Alligator mississippiensis: one gene and its partner. The protein of the gene in region 1 purifies or fractionates together with the protein of each later gene. This does not show direct contact. Links are inferred from orthologs where the notes say so. Each region holds a gene or a part of one and is shown on either strand. Other genes may lie near its edges. The genes, in order: MYO1E and OSTF1.

Region 1 (7,814 bases):
AATTCTTGGTCACTTATAACTCTGTCAGATATACCTTTTATATTAATAGTAGTTTGAGATCATATTTACCATCCAACCATTTTTTCAGTTAAACTATTTTTCCCCCCAGTGCTAATGTCAAATGATGGCCAGGCATCCAATACACAAGTTTAATTTGGTCAGTAATGTAAGTAGAGCTGAGTTGAGGAAATGACGGTCTGATTTTTCAAAACCAAGCATGGATCTAATTCAAGGGAGCTATTCTACTTTATCCAAACCACCAACATTTGTGGGACTAAAGGAGAAGCCAGATAAATACAGTTTAAGTTTTGTCACATTTCTATAATGAACAAACCAGGGTGGTCTGGATTTTGCAACACCTCATCAGTCAGGTTTTATGTTTGCAAACCAGGGGTGGTTCAGACCTGCTTTGCAAGCCAAGATGTCGATCCTGCAATCTGATCCATTAAAGTACATTTGTTTACCTATAGGGAACTTTGCTGACTTTTGTCTACCCCATGGAACCAATTGCAAAATCAGAACACACACCAGACACCAGGAATAGCTCAGACTAGAGTCCTACTTCATCTAGCCAACCAAATATTTGTGAAGTTGGCCTTGGATAAATTATTCCATTATGGCTAATATCTAAATGATTGTGGAACTTAATTTTATTTAATAAGGAGTATCTGGTGGAAGCTCTGTATTTCTATTGACCATTGCCTGTTTCTGTTTTTCCTATTAACCATTGTTACCCACTATTCTTAACAGTCAGAGGTTAATTTGAAAAATACTAAATTGTTTGAAATGAGTAATAGCAGTGGGCACTGCCTTTTCAAAATGGTTTGGAAGGAATGCGTTACATGACTATACAGCTAACTAATTGTTAGAATACTATTTATTTCATTATTTACATTCTGATTTAGAAGCTGCACGTGAAATCCCATTCAACATGTTACTGGGACTCCTATGCCAAAAGCACTACCTGCAGAAATACCCACAGGATGAGGACCTTTGACTGTGGATTTTTGGGGATAGAGACTGTGCATTAATGGCTAACGGGACACAAGCATTGTATTATTTTAAGGAGAACAGTGACTAACAGCGTTTTTTTCTGGCCAAACCAAAGCAATAAAGAAAATTGTTTTGAGTTGACTTGAAATGAAGACTCTTAAGTTTTCTTGCAAAACAAATATATTAAAAAAAAAGAATTAAAAGTTTGGTTTGAACAAAATGTTTCAGTTAAACCAAAACAAAATGGTTTGTTTTTTAAACTTGTTAAATGTAATTCAGGCAATTTTGAAATGAAACAACATTTTCAAATGAAGTATCAACATGTTTTACTTCTAAAATATCAAAATGAAACATTAACGTTTTTCAAAGGCTACCCCCCCCCTTTTTTTTCCCCACCAAAAATATTGAATGAACTGACACAACTTTAGAAATGGCTTTGGTCAACCCAGATGTGCCTTTTCAGGCCAGTGAAATATTTGACCAAAAACTTTCACTCAATTCTGATTTCAAGGTGCTTCATCCTCTTCTCAACTCTTATGTAAGCTTTCTGCCAGGCATGAGACAGCAGTAACAAGGACCAAGTTCAATTAAGGTTTTACACAAATGTATTATCTTGGCTTGAGCCCCCACCCAGAAACCTGGGACAGTAAATTTTGCCTGGAGTACCCCCCCACCCCAGAAACCTGAGTAAATATATTCTGCCTGGGTGTTCAAAATGAACAAACTTCCCCACTTGCAAGCAATATTAAATGATGACAGGGTTTATTGAAGGGGGAAGGAAAATGGGACAACAGACAGACTTGGAAAACTCTCAGTAATCAGTAGCCCGCCTCAATCAACTATTAACAGTTTAGCCGTCAATATATTTAGTGTACACAGAGTGAACTTGGTAGGCAGTAGAGCTAGTGCAGTGGCTAACACAAGCTCTCCCTTGCTTCACCACTGCTGGGGGGCACTGCTCCTCTGCTGCATATAGGAGGGGGGTGTCGCATAGCAGGGACAAGCTTCAACCTGCTCCACCAGTAGTCTTAGCACTTCAGAAAACAAACAGAGAACAGGTCCCACCATAAACCCATTAAACATATTTAAACATCACCAGGGTTTTTCCCTGTCCAGCTACATTGCTAAATGCAATGGCATCCCTGGCAACCCCTCCTCCCACCCCCACCCCACAAAAAAAGAAACTCCTATCCAGAACGTCTCCTTCCTCTGAGGCATGAGCAGAGGGTCCCTCCACCTTAGACATTCACACAAATCATTGTGAGCACCGACCCCTCAGCAACCTTTACCCAATTTTCTCTTATAGCATCAGTGCTCTTACAAACTTTTGTTACAGCAGTGTAGGAGTGCTATTTTGGCTGTGATGGTCCAGAAATTGCACCAGAGACAAGGATTTCTTAGGGTGATCTCTCTTAATTGGGCCAACTATGTCAGGGGTTCCCAACCTTTTTGTGCTGCGGCCCGGCAAACTGTGGACCGGAAGTGGCCGTGGACCAGCAATCTGTGGACCACCACACAGAGCCCTGCAGCTGAAATTTCCAGCTGGAACACAGGTAAAAATACTTCCACCTGCCGGGTGGGGAGGCAGGCCAAATGTCAACCATGGTTGCCATGGGCCCTGCGGGAGGAGTCGCGGCCTCTCTGCCTGGCTCTGCGGGGCTGCGGTTTGCCGGTCCGCAGTCACTTCTGGTCCAGCAGCCATCCGTCCTGCGGATCAGCAGCTGACCCTTCGCGACCACAGCCCGGGGATTGGGAACCCCTGAACTATGTCACTGGGATAAAGTGAGACAAGCTTTCCAGTGCAAGAGGTTCTTTTCTAAGAATGCCTTGTACTGGAAAGCTTGTCTCACTTTATCCCAATAACATAGCTACTCCAGTTAAAGAGATCACCCTTAGAAATCTTTGCTGCTCTTTATAAATGTTACCATTTTAGGAGGCAGGGCCAGTGTGCACACACCCAACTCCCCTGGTCTCTTTGGGTGCAGACAGAAGTGACAATTTTCACCAGATCTGTCGACAGAAAGCAGTTTATAGCTGTGACCAAACAAGCGCATGGCTACAGACAGCTTAAAAAATGGCCAATCTGGTGAAAATCTGACCCTGCATTGCACGAGTTACAGCTGGGAGCTGCACTTCTGTTTGTTAAAAGCATGTTAGCACAGTCAAAATAAGCAAAAAGCATTCCCACTTCTCTCACCGGTACATAATAATAGAGATATGCAGGTAGCTCTGGCCTGACATCTCGCTGTGGCCAGAGGAAGCTATTGAAAAAAATAAGCTTTATCAAGGTCAAATCAGTTCAAAATGCAATTGGGCAAATCCTACGAGTCAAGTTTCAAAACTCAAGTGAGCAGAGCTCAATCCTCAAGTTTGGATGGCTTTGGCGGGGCGAGCGTCCTCCCTCCCAGCCCCATCCCTCTGGGGCTTGGCTTCTCCCCAGATCCAGGCAGGTGTGCTGCCAGCCCCAGGCCCCGAGGCCTCGGGGTTCAGATGCCCCGGTCTCCTTTCATCTTAGACACCTAGGAGGTCAGGCTGCAGGCAGGCCTCGGGGGGACGCAGTGATGGTGACATGAAGAGCTGGGAGGAGCTGGCTGCCAACCCACCCCAGTGGCGCTGCCACCTCTGTTTGCGTCTTTGGCCCAGAGGGCGGAGGAGGGAAGGAGATGGTCTAGCTGGAGCTGGCCGTGCTCTGAGGGGGGCTGGACACGAGATGACCCCGGGAGGTGCCCTCCAGCCCTCCTTCCCTATTCCCCTCCGAGCCCAGCCTGCAACCCCCTCTCCCCAGCGCGACCCACAACTTCCCGGGCCGGGCCCGTGCTCCAGACCTGCCCCAGCCCCAGCCCCAGCCCCAGGGAGCGCGCGGGGACTCGCCCGCCCGCCCGGGGCCAGGGCTGCGCGCAGGGACCTGCCTCCCGGGCGGCCTCCGCGGGCGGGGGCGGCTGCAGCCCCCGGGGGCACCTGGCAGCCCGGTGCCGCCCGGGGGAGCAGCGCGGGGCCGGGCCGGGCCGGGCCGGGCCGGGACTACAAGGCCCAGCGGCCCCGGGAGCCGCTCCCGCTGCCAGGAGCTCCCTGAGGAATGACGCCGCCGCGCCCGCCCGCCCCTCGGCCGGCCCGATCTCCATTTATGGACACATCGCCCCGTGCGCGGGTCGCCGAGGTGTGCGGGGAGCGGCCGGCGCAGCCCGTTCCCGCCCCTGCTCCCGCCGCCAACAGCGCCACCGCCGCTGCCCGCATGGGGCCCGCGCCGCGCCGCTGAGCCGGCTCCGCTGCCCTGCGCCTCGCGCCCGCCGACCAGGCGACCCCCGCGCCCAGCCGCCGCCGCCGCCGCAGCCATGGTAAGTGTCCCGGGGCCGCCGGCTGACAGCGTCCCCTGGGGGCTCGGGGCAGCCCGCCGGCCGGGCCGGGGGCAGGGGCAGGGGCAGGGGCAGGGCCGAGCCGGTCCGCGCCGCGTCGCGCCGAGCCAGCGGGCACAGCCCCAGAGCAGAAGCCCGCGCTGTGCTGCCGCCTGGCTCGGGGCCGCCGGGAGGGGCCGCCGCCTCGGCCACGCAGCAGCTCCCGTAGCCGTGCGTGTGCGTGTGTGAATCCTGGAGAAGTGTGTGGCGGGGTGTGTGTCTCGTGTGTGTATCTGGGCACAGTTGCCCTCAGCCACGCAACGACTCGTGGAGAAGCGGGCGCCCAAGCCCGGGCTCCGCCGCTCCCCCGCGAGAGGGTCTGGCTGAGGGGCGCGAGCCCGCGTGTCTGCATCGTGGCGCCCGCCCGCGCGCGCGTCTTCGGGGGTGTCCCACACGTAGACATCCGCAGGCGAGGTTCTTTGGGTAAAGCCGGTGTCTTTTATGAGACCAACTCAAATAGTTGCACATTTTTTTTGCAAGCTTTTGGGCACAAAACACCCTTCGTCAGGCTGAGGAGGCATCTGCAGATTTAGACACCCCCCTTCTCCCCCCCCCACACACACACTTTTGGGGTTTATGGCTTCCCAGATTTATGATTTTGGGGCCAAACTCTTTTCTGTCCTTGGGTGTTTTTGGGGTGTGTGTCTATGTATGTGTGTGTTGGTTGGTTGGTTTTAATGAAAAGTCTGAACTTTCCCCAAAGGTCCTATTTTGCATCCCTCCAGCCTGACTGGAGAGGAACGTGCAAACACAATGTACAGTGTAATGTACAGCGCAGAGGAGATATAGCGGTGACCCTCTTTACCTGACGGGTTTAAGGATCTGTGAAAGCTGGGGCTTCCAGATTAGAAACACAGCGGGCCAGTTCATCCTTCCTGTGATTGCACGGACCCTAGCAGTGAGTGCAGCCCAGTGCACAGCTGTCCCCTCATAAAAGTGGCAAGAAGTACTGTGGTTCCTGAGGAAGGAGACTAGACTTCTCTACATGTTTACAACATTACAGTACTTTTTCAATTTTGTAACAAGTGTGGGGAAAACAACTCCATAGCCAACATGGATGTTTTATGATGACTTAGACTCTTTTTATTAAGAAACTTAAGTCCTTATGAGGCTCCTAAGTTGCATGGAATTGTTGTAACAGAGCTGGGACTTCCCTTCGGACTAGCTTTACTCAAGCAGAATGGATGGAGTTAGTCACATTTCCCTCCAATTAGCATTGCTGTTCTTGTTTTGGTTCTCTCACTGTGCGCAGCGTTGTACAGAGGCTGATCGCAGGGCTCCTGAAACAGGACTCTGTAGTCCCAGTTAGTCCTACTGAAAGGAATATTGTATTTCTTGAATGTTCACGTCGGGCTCCATCCTGCAAGGTGCTGAACATGGTCTTGATCCAACACAGTAGTTAAGCACACCACTGATTCTGTAAAGTGTGCCTGACATCACTGCATCCGAAACTGTATGTAGTCTGACTCCTTACGACCTTTTTACAAGGAATGATGATGCTTCTTGCAGCATAGGCTGTCTTGGTGGTAGTCACAGTTGCATCATATCATGCCTTTCTCTCTCCATTTAAATTTATTTTCATATCACTGTGATCAAGGCTTTTAGAACATAGCAAGACGAATTGCTCCATTTTTTTCTGTTGTCAAATCAAGTGAGAACCTAAGAGCTGACATTTTACAAGCAGGGCTCAAGCTAACAGGGTTGACAGCCACTGGACTAAGGAGATGCACCATCATCACTAATCCAGCTCTGAGCGGCATTGGAGTGGATCTGCGAGGTTTTGTTATGGGTGTAAGGTTTTGAAAATGGGTTAAAGGTTTTGAAGAAGGGGATGATAGATGGTGTGTGTGTGTGTATATTTATAGACATATTTTTACAAAAAAACCCCTAAAAGATTTAAACTGTTTTGTTTTATGTGGTATACTTTTTTACTATATTGAACCACACTGAGTGGCAGGCATTAATTATGGAAGGGGGGTGTGTGTTCTTGCCATGAATTATAATAACATCTTTCATAATAATTTCAACCACCTAACATGACACAGTAGTTGAGGACTGAAATGAAAAAAAGAAATCCTGATAGAATGGACCAAATCTCATGGCCCCCCCCCCCAAATTAGCTAATTGCAAAAAGCTTGCCTGTGAAATTCAGTTTGAAAAAATGTATCAGTTATGAATCTGAGCATGCGCCTGTTAAAACTTGAGTTTATTCTAGAAGTCTTAATTTACTATTGTCCTGTTTTATACTACATGAATTCATGAGCTTTTTAAGAAGCTATGTGGCCAGAAAGCAGCAGAGATGCCCAATGCAAGTCTTTACTATAGTACTGAATTGAATAAGTTATTCAGCTTCTAGTAGCCACCTGCAGTTCACTTAGTATTGATTTAGTGTAAGTAAATATGTTCTGGAACAGCATAATATGAAGCTTACACTACTTGTCTCATAATAGTTGGAGACATGTTTTCATAAGGATTTGTGAAAGCTCTTTTCATCAGAGTACGGGTTTTAACCATAACTTTGAACATTATGTTACTTTTGTAAGAAATATGTTATCATTATTGTGTCTTTCATTTTCAGTAGCTATTAATGCTTTCTTTGTTAGAGTTAATTTTTTGAATATTATTTTAGTAGCTTTATTAATTTTGATGACAGAGCCTTGACATTTTATATAACACAGGAAGGGTTTCATAGAGTTTAGATGTCTTACATTGAAAAATTAAAGTTTACAACAGCTGAACATGTTAAATATTTCAAACAAACTTTTACAGATTAATTAAAACTTTGTAGTGAAAGTTTATTTCAATTAGAGGATCTGACAATTTGAAAGAGTGTGTTACTTGTACTTTTAACATATATTATTCTTCATAACTTTATGGAGTTTAAGGCTAGAATAAGCTATTAGGTCAGGTAAACTGACCTCTATCACAGACTATTACATTTCATTCAGTTACCCCTATATTAAGCACAAAAAAAGAGACAAAAGCATTTCAGTCCTTGGGGGGATTAAACTCACACAGGGAAAGGGCAGGAGAAATGGAAATGCCACCCATGCTCAAGGCCCTTGCAGGGGCAGGGAACTGATATGGTAAATATGCCCCTATGATCCCAATAGGTGAATTGGGAGGAGCTCCATTCCAACCAGGGAAAGCAAAAAAACATGCAAGATCCATAACTGACAATGATCCTCAGTATGTGAGCAAGATGCATCATTGGGCATCTAGGAAGCGGATTCTCTGAACCACATCAGAGCATTGCACCATTCCATCTGATGTCCCATCTCCAGCTTTGACCCATTACAGATGTTTCAGAGGCAGGCCAAAAAACCCCTCAAACCCTTCAATACATGACCAACTGAAGGAGATTGGGAGATAAAATAACCCTTACTGATCTTGAACACAGCAGACTGAGGTTTGATTATAGTTTTTGGT
Region 2 (8,369 bases), on another chromosome or scaffold:
AAGATGTCGAGCTTGAAAATATTTTAGAGACCGCACAGCAAGCGTTTTAGAAAAGTACTGCTCACATCACCATAACTGACACTAAAGTTGGGTTTTGCATGTAGATAAGAGGTTGAATCCCTATGTTGTTAACAGCATATATAGCTGCCCAAGCAGCTACACCAAAAATCTTGTGTGTAGGCTGCATTTTAGGCTTTGTCTTTAGTTGTTAAAACTGAAAGTTATAATGAATACGGTTACACTGTGACCGTGAGCTAGTTCTACATGAGCTAGCTTACTGTGGATAGACTGCTTCAGGTACCTGGGAAATCCAAGTTTGACTGGATTTCTCTACACTCCAGCAAAGCTTAGACATACAACATTGTCTGTTTTAAGTGCATAGTCTCTGAAGTGAAAAGAGGGTATGCATTCACTTGATCTTTTAATATAAGCAATACTTCTATACTTCTCAAGTGCACAGCCCTGTCACTACTGTGGTATTAGCAGCCCCAAAACTGACTAGTTCCTTTCATTTTCAAGGTTTGTACTAGCTGCACTTTGACAGTGGTTTCCTTTTTCATTGCTCTGGCGCAGCTGGTTACAATGTGGACAAATACAGTTAGTGGATAATTAATCAGACTATAATTAAGTTACAAAGTAGACAGTGAAAAATGGCTGCACAAGCAGTCTCTCCGTGCTATGCGGCAGGGCGGGAAAGAGAACAGGCCGCACAGGAACGGAGCAAAAAGCAGTGCAGCAGATTGGGCATGATAAAGGGATTGGAGGCTCAGGGATGATGAGGGACTAATTGGTAGTATGCCTGCCAGGAGTTTGGCCCCCATTGCTATATACTATGATTTATTTCACAGAAGCCCACAACGTCTCCCCCTCTGCACAAAAAAATAGGTACAAACTTTTATTGTTCTAAATGGGTATGTGCCCCTAACAACAACAACAACAAAAAAAAAGTAGCTGCTGCATCCACTGGCCTGCTCCTCCTTGCTTTGCCTCTTTTTTACACCCAGGCTAAACTATCCTTTAAAGAGCCTGGGAAACTGCCTCTCTGACACAGGGTAGTTCTTTCTACAGCTTTCGGATAAGGAAATGTTTTTCTTCAGACTCTACTGATGGAGCACTCTATTTTTAAAGTCTCTCTATCTAGCTATTGCTTTCAATTCTGTTAATTTTGTTGCACTAAATAAATGTTGAACTAATCCTCCATAGATGCAAGGGAAACTAGGGTCATGTACGGTGTTCAAAGGGGCAGGGAAGCCTGAGAGGTGCTGGGGAAGCTTCGGTGAGTGTGTGCATTTAAGCAACAAAACGTAAATAAAAAAAGATGTGGGAGGCATGGGGCACTTCTGGCTGGAGAGCTACAAGGGGGCATGGAGGAAAGAATGAAAGTAGAAAACCTGGAAATTTGTGAATAAAGCTTGCTTATACATAAAAATACTGCTATTGTTTGATATCAGAGGGCAAATCCAAGTATGTTTTGCATGCCCTATTTGTGCATCTCTATGCTTTAGCAGAGAGCACATTAAAAGACATGCTGCAAATGAATATTCATAAAATTAGTCCTTGCTTAGGTGTTTATGCTCAATTTTTGTAGCAACTGCAGGACTACCTCCTGATCCATCTTCCCACTGAGGTGAATGGGAGAAGTTTCCATTAGAATCATAGAAAATGAGGGTTGGAAGGGACCTCGGGCAGTCACCTAATCCAACCCCCTGCTCAAAGCAGAACCATCCCCATTCTCCATCTCCTAACACAAGAACAAGCGCATGTTGGACAAAAAAAAGGACAGAAAAGAATTTTAAAAGATCAAAAGAAATGCTCTGAAAAAGCAGAGAAGAGAGAACTCAGTGCAACTGGACCAGCAACTTTCCTGGCCTCAAAAAGAAGCCGTATAACACACTCAACAACCTGGTAGTTACTAGGAAAGACAGAAGCCTTATGCTTCATAGAATTATAGAGAAGTCGGGACTCCTAGAGATCATTGAGTCCAGGGGTGGGCAAAATACAGTGCGGGAGCATCCAGCTTGCCAGCCCATTCTATCTGGCCCGTGGGCCCCCTAGAAAATTTAATATACGTTTGCTCCTGGCTGCTTGTCAAAGATATCAAGGTCCAGGGGCAGTAGGACCCAGGGGAAGCCAGCAGTGGGATGCAGCAGCAAGACCCACCTAGCTCTACCCCCCCAACCAGAAGCCCCTGTCTAGCAGAGGCTTCTGGCCTGGGACTGTGGGGCTGTTCCTGCTTCCTTGTGCCGGAGAGAGAAATGGGGCCCTCAACATCTTGCCAAAACTGGGTAAGTAGCCCTCCACCTGAAATAAGGTGCCCGCCCCTGATCTAGCCCAACCCCCTGCCTGAGGCAGGATCATCCCTATCCAAACCTGTACAGTTCAACATCTAACTTCTGCATGACTTTCAACCTTGCCACAACACAGACCTAACCCCTTCACCTGCCACATGTAAAGCAGGGGAACCATTCACGCCACCACTGTTCCTTCAGTGTGCCTGCCCCACCTCCCTCCTACAGTAGCCTGTGGCCGGGTTAGGGCGGGGGGCGAGTGGCCAGACACGAAGCCAGCAACAGGGGGAGTGTTGGTGCCCCCTTGCTATGGCACTGGGTGCCTCATCGGTACGCCACTGTGTGCACAGCATGATTTTTTATTTTTTTATATAAATATATATATTTTGTTTGCAGCTTAGTGGGAACGCTGGCGCAACCTTCCTGCTTCTATAAAAATGCTTCCAATATATTCTCCTGGGTAACATTTTGTGTGGCGTGAGAGGATAGGTTAGGGAGCAGGCCTAGCTCTATCTGTGGGAGGGCAGCATTACGTAGGCATCAGAGTCCTAGACTCTGACTCCCGCAGCCTGGGCTGCATTGGTCCGTACTAGGCAGCTGCTGCCTCCATTTTCCCCACCTGTAAAATGGGGAGAAGGACATTGGCTGCTGCCTTCCAGGAAGCAGTAAGTCAAAGCCACTAGGCAGCCCCTCACTGGGCCAGGCCTCAGCATAGGGTGGTTTCTTGCACCTTCACCTCCAGCCTCTGAAGCGGGTGCAGGAGGGCTAGGTAGCAGCTCTTTTCTACTCCTGCCAGCTCCTGCCTTCTGCCCCTGCGTTTGCCACAGCCCCACCCCCACCCGGCTCTCGTTTCTGCAGGGCAAGGGTTAGTGGCTGCCTTAGCAGCGGCTCCCCGGTTTAACCCCAGTGTCATTCAGGTGGAGGCAGAGACTGGGGGGGTCAACCCGGAGCGGTCACGGCCGCCGGGATCCCCCTCCCGCGGGTGCCCACGTGTCATTGCGGCTCTGCCCTACCCCTACCTGGCTTGGCCGGTTTCGGCGGCGGCTTGGACATGGCTGCGACTCTGGCCGCCCCACCCGGCGGTGCTGCTAGCGCTGCGCGAAGGGGCGCGGGGCGCTGGGCTCCCTTTGGGCGGCAGCGACGAGGAAGTGCGAGGCTCGGCGACCCCGCGCGCGGGCTCCACCTGCAGGCGGCCGTGGGGCGCTGCAAGCGGGGACCGGGAAGCCAGGGAGGGAAGGCAGCAGCCAATCCCCGCCGGGGCGGAGGACGAACGTAGCCAATGGCTACAGGGTGGGCGGGGTCACGGAGGCCTCGCCCCCTTGCTCCTCTTCTCCCCCCTCCCTTCACCAGTGGGCGGGACCAGGTCTTACACGTCAGGGAGTGGGGGTGGGGCTGGGGCTCCGGCCGCAGTAGGGGGAGGGCAGTGTGGCGTAGTGTCTTAGTGGGGGTGGGATTCAATTGTGTGCGTCACAATGGAAATGGGGCGGGGGTGGAGCTCTGCAGCGCTGCGTTACAATCGGGGCGGTGGGTTCCTGACGCAGCGCGGGAGGGTGATTCCGTGCAAGGCTGCAGGCGGGCCCCGGGGACTGTGTGGGGCATCGCGGGGGAGGCCGCCTGGCGCCTGGTGGAGCTGCCCCGCGTTGAGCGGTGGGTGCTTGCCCACGCTGGGCGTGAGGGGCTGGCGGGTGGGCAGCAGGAGGGGAGGGGGGAGCTGAGCCTGTGTGCAGCGCTGTCCAGATCCGGGACCCTGGAACCTGATGGAAAGCTGCCGGCCTCCGCGGGAGGGTATCAGCCAGGGCGGCGTTTCCCAACCCGTGGGGCGCGACCTTCTTGGTGGTTAAGATCAAGTGTACTCGCTGCACTGGTGCGGTACCGGAGCTGAAATGGATTTAAATAAAGGGCATTGTGTGGCGGAGGGGGCACCCTTGTCCAAATGCACTGTGGACAGGACACCTTGTAATTGGCTTCCAACTGGCCAGTTTCCAGCAGGACGACCTCGGCTATGCACCTACTTTATGGAATTGGGGCACCTCTCCCTAGCTTTCTAATGCATGCAAGCGAGGCTTGGGGGGGCATCTGAACCCCAAGCCTCTGGGCTTGGGTCTGCACATAGGTCGCCTACCAATGGATTTGGATTTGGATTTGGAAGTATCTGAAGCCCTAGGCTGTGAAGTCGGGTGGAGGATAAATGCTGGTTGCTGTGCCACATATGGTGTTTAAACTATGAGTTTTGCTCAGTCAAAAGGAGTCAGAACTGATCTGGCCTAGAACATTAAAAATCTTCCACAAAAAAATTAAAAAGTGGGTTGCAAGAATATATGAAATGGTCGCAAGCCGACTTTAAAAATGGGTTCTCCTTTAAAGGAGAAAAACCTAGGAAACTCTGGGTTTTCCCCTTGGAGGCTGGCAGAGTTCCAGCGTGCAAGGGGCTGCTTGGGGCTTCCCACAACCTACAAACCACCCCGCCTCCTGCCCCACATGAGGGGGCGGCAGGTCCAGAGTGAGGGGCACTGGGTCAGGACTGGACATTGATTTTTACAAATGGGTCCTGGTACAAAAAAAGTTGAGACCCACTGATCCAGGTGGCCTGGCCCTTGGACCCTATGGCACTTTTGGGATGTTAGGTGGGGAACACCTAGAAGGTGCCGTGAGCTGTCTCCTGTTGAGAGTTAACGTCATTTGTTGCCTGTGCAGCTAGGATATGCCACCAGAGGGCAGGCGAGCAGGGGTGTGGCTAAGAGCCAGGCCACCTGGGCTTTGTCCCTTGCTGGCGGTAGGGAGCAGTGCATTCTGGGATGTTGGAGGACTGCAAAATTGCTCATTTTATCTCTGTGGATCAGATGGGAGTTACCCTGACACAATCTAGGTAGCACAGCCCAGGGTTAATCCTCTTCTGAAGTGGTGTAACATTGAGGGCACTAACAAGCTTTAATGCGCAGAGGCTTTAAGTGCCTTTAGTACTGTTGAAGTGTAACATGTCGTGTAACTGTACCCACAGGGCTGGCTGTGGTTAGCATTGTCTGTCTTGTTCTTGGGGTCATGCAAGACTCACAACTTGTGGTAAGCTGGCTCTGAGCATACCTTTAAATGTCAGTGTCTTCACTGGCCTGTTGCCTTTTACCGGTCTCCAGTTGTGCGTGTGTATATGTGTGTAAGAAGAATTGCCTATGTGAAGACCCTTATAACTAAATTTACTTTAGAATTTGTATAGCAAGCATTTAAAACCCCAGGACCCCTGGTACTGGAGGTACTTTATTTAGATGTGCAGCACTTGAGTAGATGCCAAATAGGTCCATGATCCTGAAAAATGCCATGCATGGATATACCCCTGCATGGGGTTAATTGAGTTTAGTAATGCAATCACATGGGTCCACCCTGTGCATCAGAGTGCAGGAGCGCTGCCTAACATTGTCCAAAAGGGGGTGTATTTTTATTTAGTTGGTCATATGGCTGTGTTTTGTCTTCAGGCCATTTGAAGAAGCATGGCACAGTTTATTCTGTATCTAGACCAAGCACTTTTGTGTTGTGGTGTGTCCAAAATTATCACTATCCTATTGGAAAAAAATAGAAAATACTGTAAAGACTTTTTGCTTTCAAAGATGAACCAAAAAATATATTACCCTTCCCAACACCTGGCACCCCACTTCAAAATTCATCCCCAAATCTTAGATCTATAATTAAATTTAAATATTTTAAAATTATTTTTAAGTTTGTTTTCAGTGTGTGCTTGTAATTTAGCATGTAAAAATGTTCTAATGCAAAGCGTTTCAGAATTTGACTCCAGTGAGATGTGGTTGATGTGGTCTGCACTGTAGCACAAGTATCAAACTTACTGTTTCAGGCCACAGCATCTGATTGCATTACTGCTGCCATCTACACATGCGAAAGCATCTTAGAGTGATTGTTTTATTAAACTAGTTTGGTCTACTCTGTGTAGAGATAATGTGATCTGGCCATAACTATGTTGTAGAATTATTACTAGATCATGTGCAGACTTGAGCTCTACATACCTGTTACAGGTCTATAATATGACTATAAACAAGTTTTGGTCTTACTTACACAAGCCAACCTGAGCCTTGTTATACTGAAATTCTATGGTGTAATACTGCCATCCACCCATGTGGCTCCACAAGCTGTTTGTTTCTTCTTTTTGTTTATTCTGGAATTTTTCTTAAGCTACGATTACACTGGAGATGGACAGTGACGTAAATTAGAGAGTTCAAAACCCTTCACAGTATGTATCAGTGTTACCTAATTTGTCGGTTAATGCTTTTTTGTGCAACAAAGGTTAATTCTTTAGAACAAAGTCCAGAACTCATATTTATTTGAAAATATTTGCATTTGGATAGGCCAGACAACCACCATGTACATCTGTCTGCCTCCTCTTAAAGCAATGTTGCCTTTTCTCTCAATTGAAAATATTAATCCTTTAAACATTTATAATGCTGTCTGAGATTCTTAAAGGTCTTAGCAAACATAGATGTATTTATTTTCAGAAATGTTGAACTCCAATTACAAAGTTAATAGGTACTGTCTCAGCTCAGTGTCAGTCTCCAGATCTTGAAATGAGTAGATAGGATTTTATTTTACCAATCGGGAGAACTGGGGAACAGAAAAGTGACGTGTCTGATACTACAAAATAAGTCTGTGGGGAGAAATGAGGAACTCAGTCTTTTTACCTATATAAAACAAGACAGTAACCCATTTCTCTGCTCTTGTAATTTACTTCTAAGGGCTTGATCTTACAAAAACTTATTGAGCTAAGCAGCAGGAAGGAGTTGTAGGTCTGAGTCTTATAGGACTATAAATAAGTAAAAGGAAAAAAGGTTGTCAAAAACGGTATATATGATGTAATGCACTGTAATTTGATTTTTTTTTTTTTTCAGTTAAGACATTGGAAGTTCTGAAGATGTGTGTGTAGCAGTGGTAGAGTTTAAAAAGATAAAAGGGCCTTTTACATTAATTGCTTTTTCCCCTTGTAGCAATTGCTTTTATCATTGCCAAAGTAGGTGTGTTCACTGACTGTTCTTGTTTTAGACGGTTGGAAGAAAGGAAGTGGATAGAATACTAATTATGAAACTGGTTGTTGGCCTTGGAGGGTAAGTACAAAAAGTTTAAATTCTAAAGCAAAAATGTGAGATTTCTTCAAGCTTCGAGATGAAGTCTACAAGTGCCTGTCTGTATATGAATATGTTGTTATCAGAGAAGGAATTAAAAGTATGATCTTAACACTTGTCACTAGTATTGCATGCAATTTTTTTGCATCTTGTCCCTACCTCCATCATAAATCAACCCTTTGGGACATCAGCTCTGATCTTCCCTATGCCATTCTCTTGCACATTGGTTGAAAGCTGTCAGAATATCCAGACAAATGACTGGGAGCCATGCAGGCATGATCAGCATTGTGAATAAAATTACGTTTTGGCAGTGGCTTTATTTTTGATGCATGCTTTGTTCCTGATTTTTTTTTTCTGTCCTGACATAGCCTTTATTCTGTTCTTTAACTCAGTGTGACAAATGGGGGGAAAACAACACTGGCAGAAAAGCTTAAGAAACTGCTTCCAAATTGCAGTATAATCTACCAAGATGACTTCTTTAAGGTAACAGCATATACAGAAAGACTTTGTGCATAAAAATAGACTTGAAAATGTAGTTGCTGCAAAACTATTAATAGGATTTGTAAGTTAGAGTGGTAAATCAACTGCACTGTAATACTGCTGGGATGCTTCAGTTGCCAGAATCGATTTGCTGTGTGACCAAGAGAGAAACAATCTGACTGTATTCTTTGGTCTGTTTCAAGATCAGGAATAGGAATAGAGTATATGAATTTTTTAAACTGCTTCCTGGTAATTCGGTTCTGTTTGGGGTTTTTTTGCATTTATGCGTAACTTTAGATAGAAAACAATTACAAACAAAAATGGCATCCAGGAATGAAGTTACACATTACCCTTAGATCATACTAAGGTCTAAAATGCTATGTTTAAAACTCATGCTAAATGCCCTCCTGTCAAACTTCCACCGCTTCTGGTGAGTGTTACTTTGGGCTGTGCTACCTAGCCAGTGTTGGGGTAACTTCAGTCT

Evidence for each region.
Region 2: the proteins of MYO1E (region 1) and OSTF1 purify together in Homo sapiens (co-immunoprecipitation; 3 studies listed by BioGRID and IntAct, counting the BioPlex papers as one, with this or other methods). This does not show direct contact. The link is inferred for Alligator mississippiensis from reciprocal best matches to the Homo sapiens genes MYO1E and OSTF1.

Annotation. Positions count from the first base shown.
Region 1 is NC_081834.1:38,485,172-38,492,985, forward strand, and holds the start of MYO1E (unconventional myosin-Ie), read left to right. Parts: upstream 1-4,073; 5' UTR 4,074-4,325; coding exon 4,326-4,328; intron 4,329-7,814. UniProt on the Homo sapiens protein: Actin-based motor molecule with ATPase activity. Unconventional myosins serve in intracellular movements. Their highly divergent tails bind to membranous compartments, which are then moved relative to actin filaments.
Region 2 is NC_081826.1:197,732,240-197,740,608, reverse strand, and holds the start of OSTF1 (osteoclast-stimulating factor 1), read right to left. Parts: upstream 3,467-8,369; 5' UTR 3,342-3,466; coding exon 3,308-3,341; intron 1-3,307. Other genes in the region: NMRK1 (nicotinamide riboside kinase 1), read left to right, coding at 5,328-5,348, 7,326-7,387, 7,798-7,888.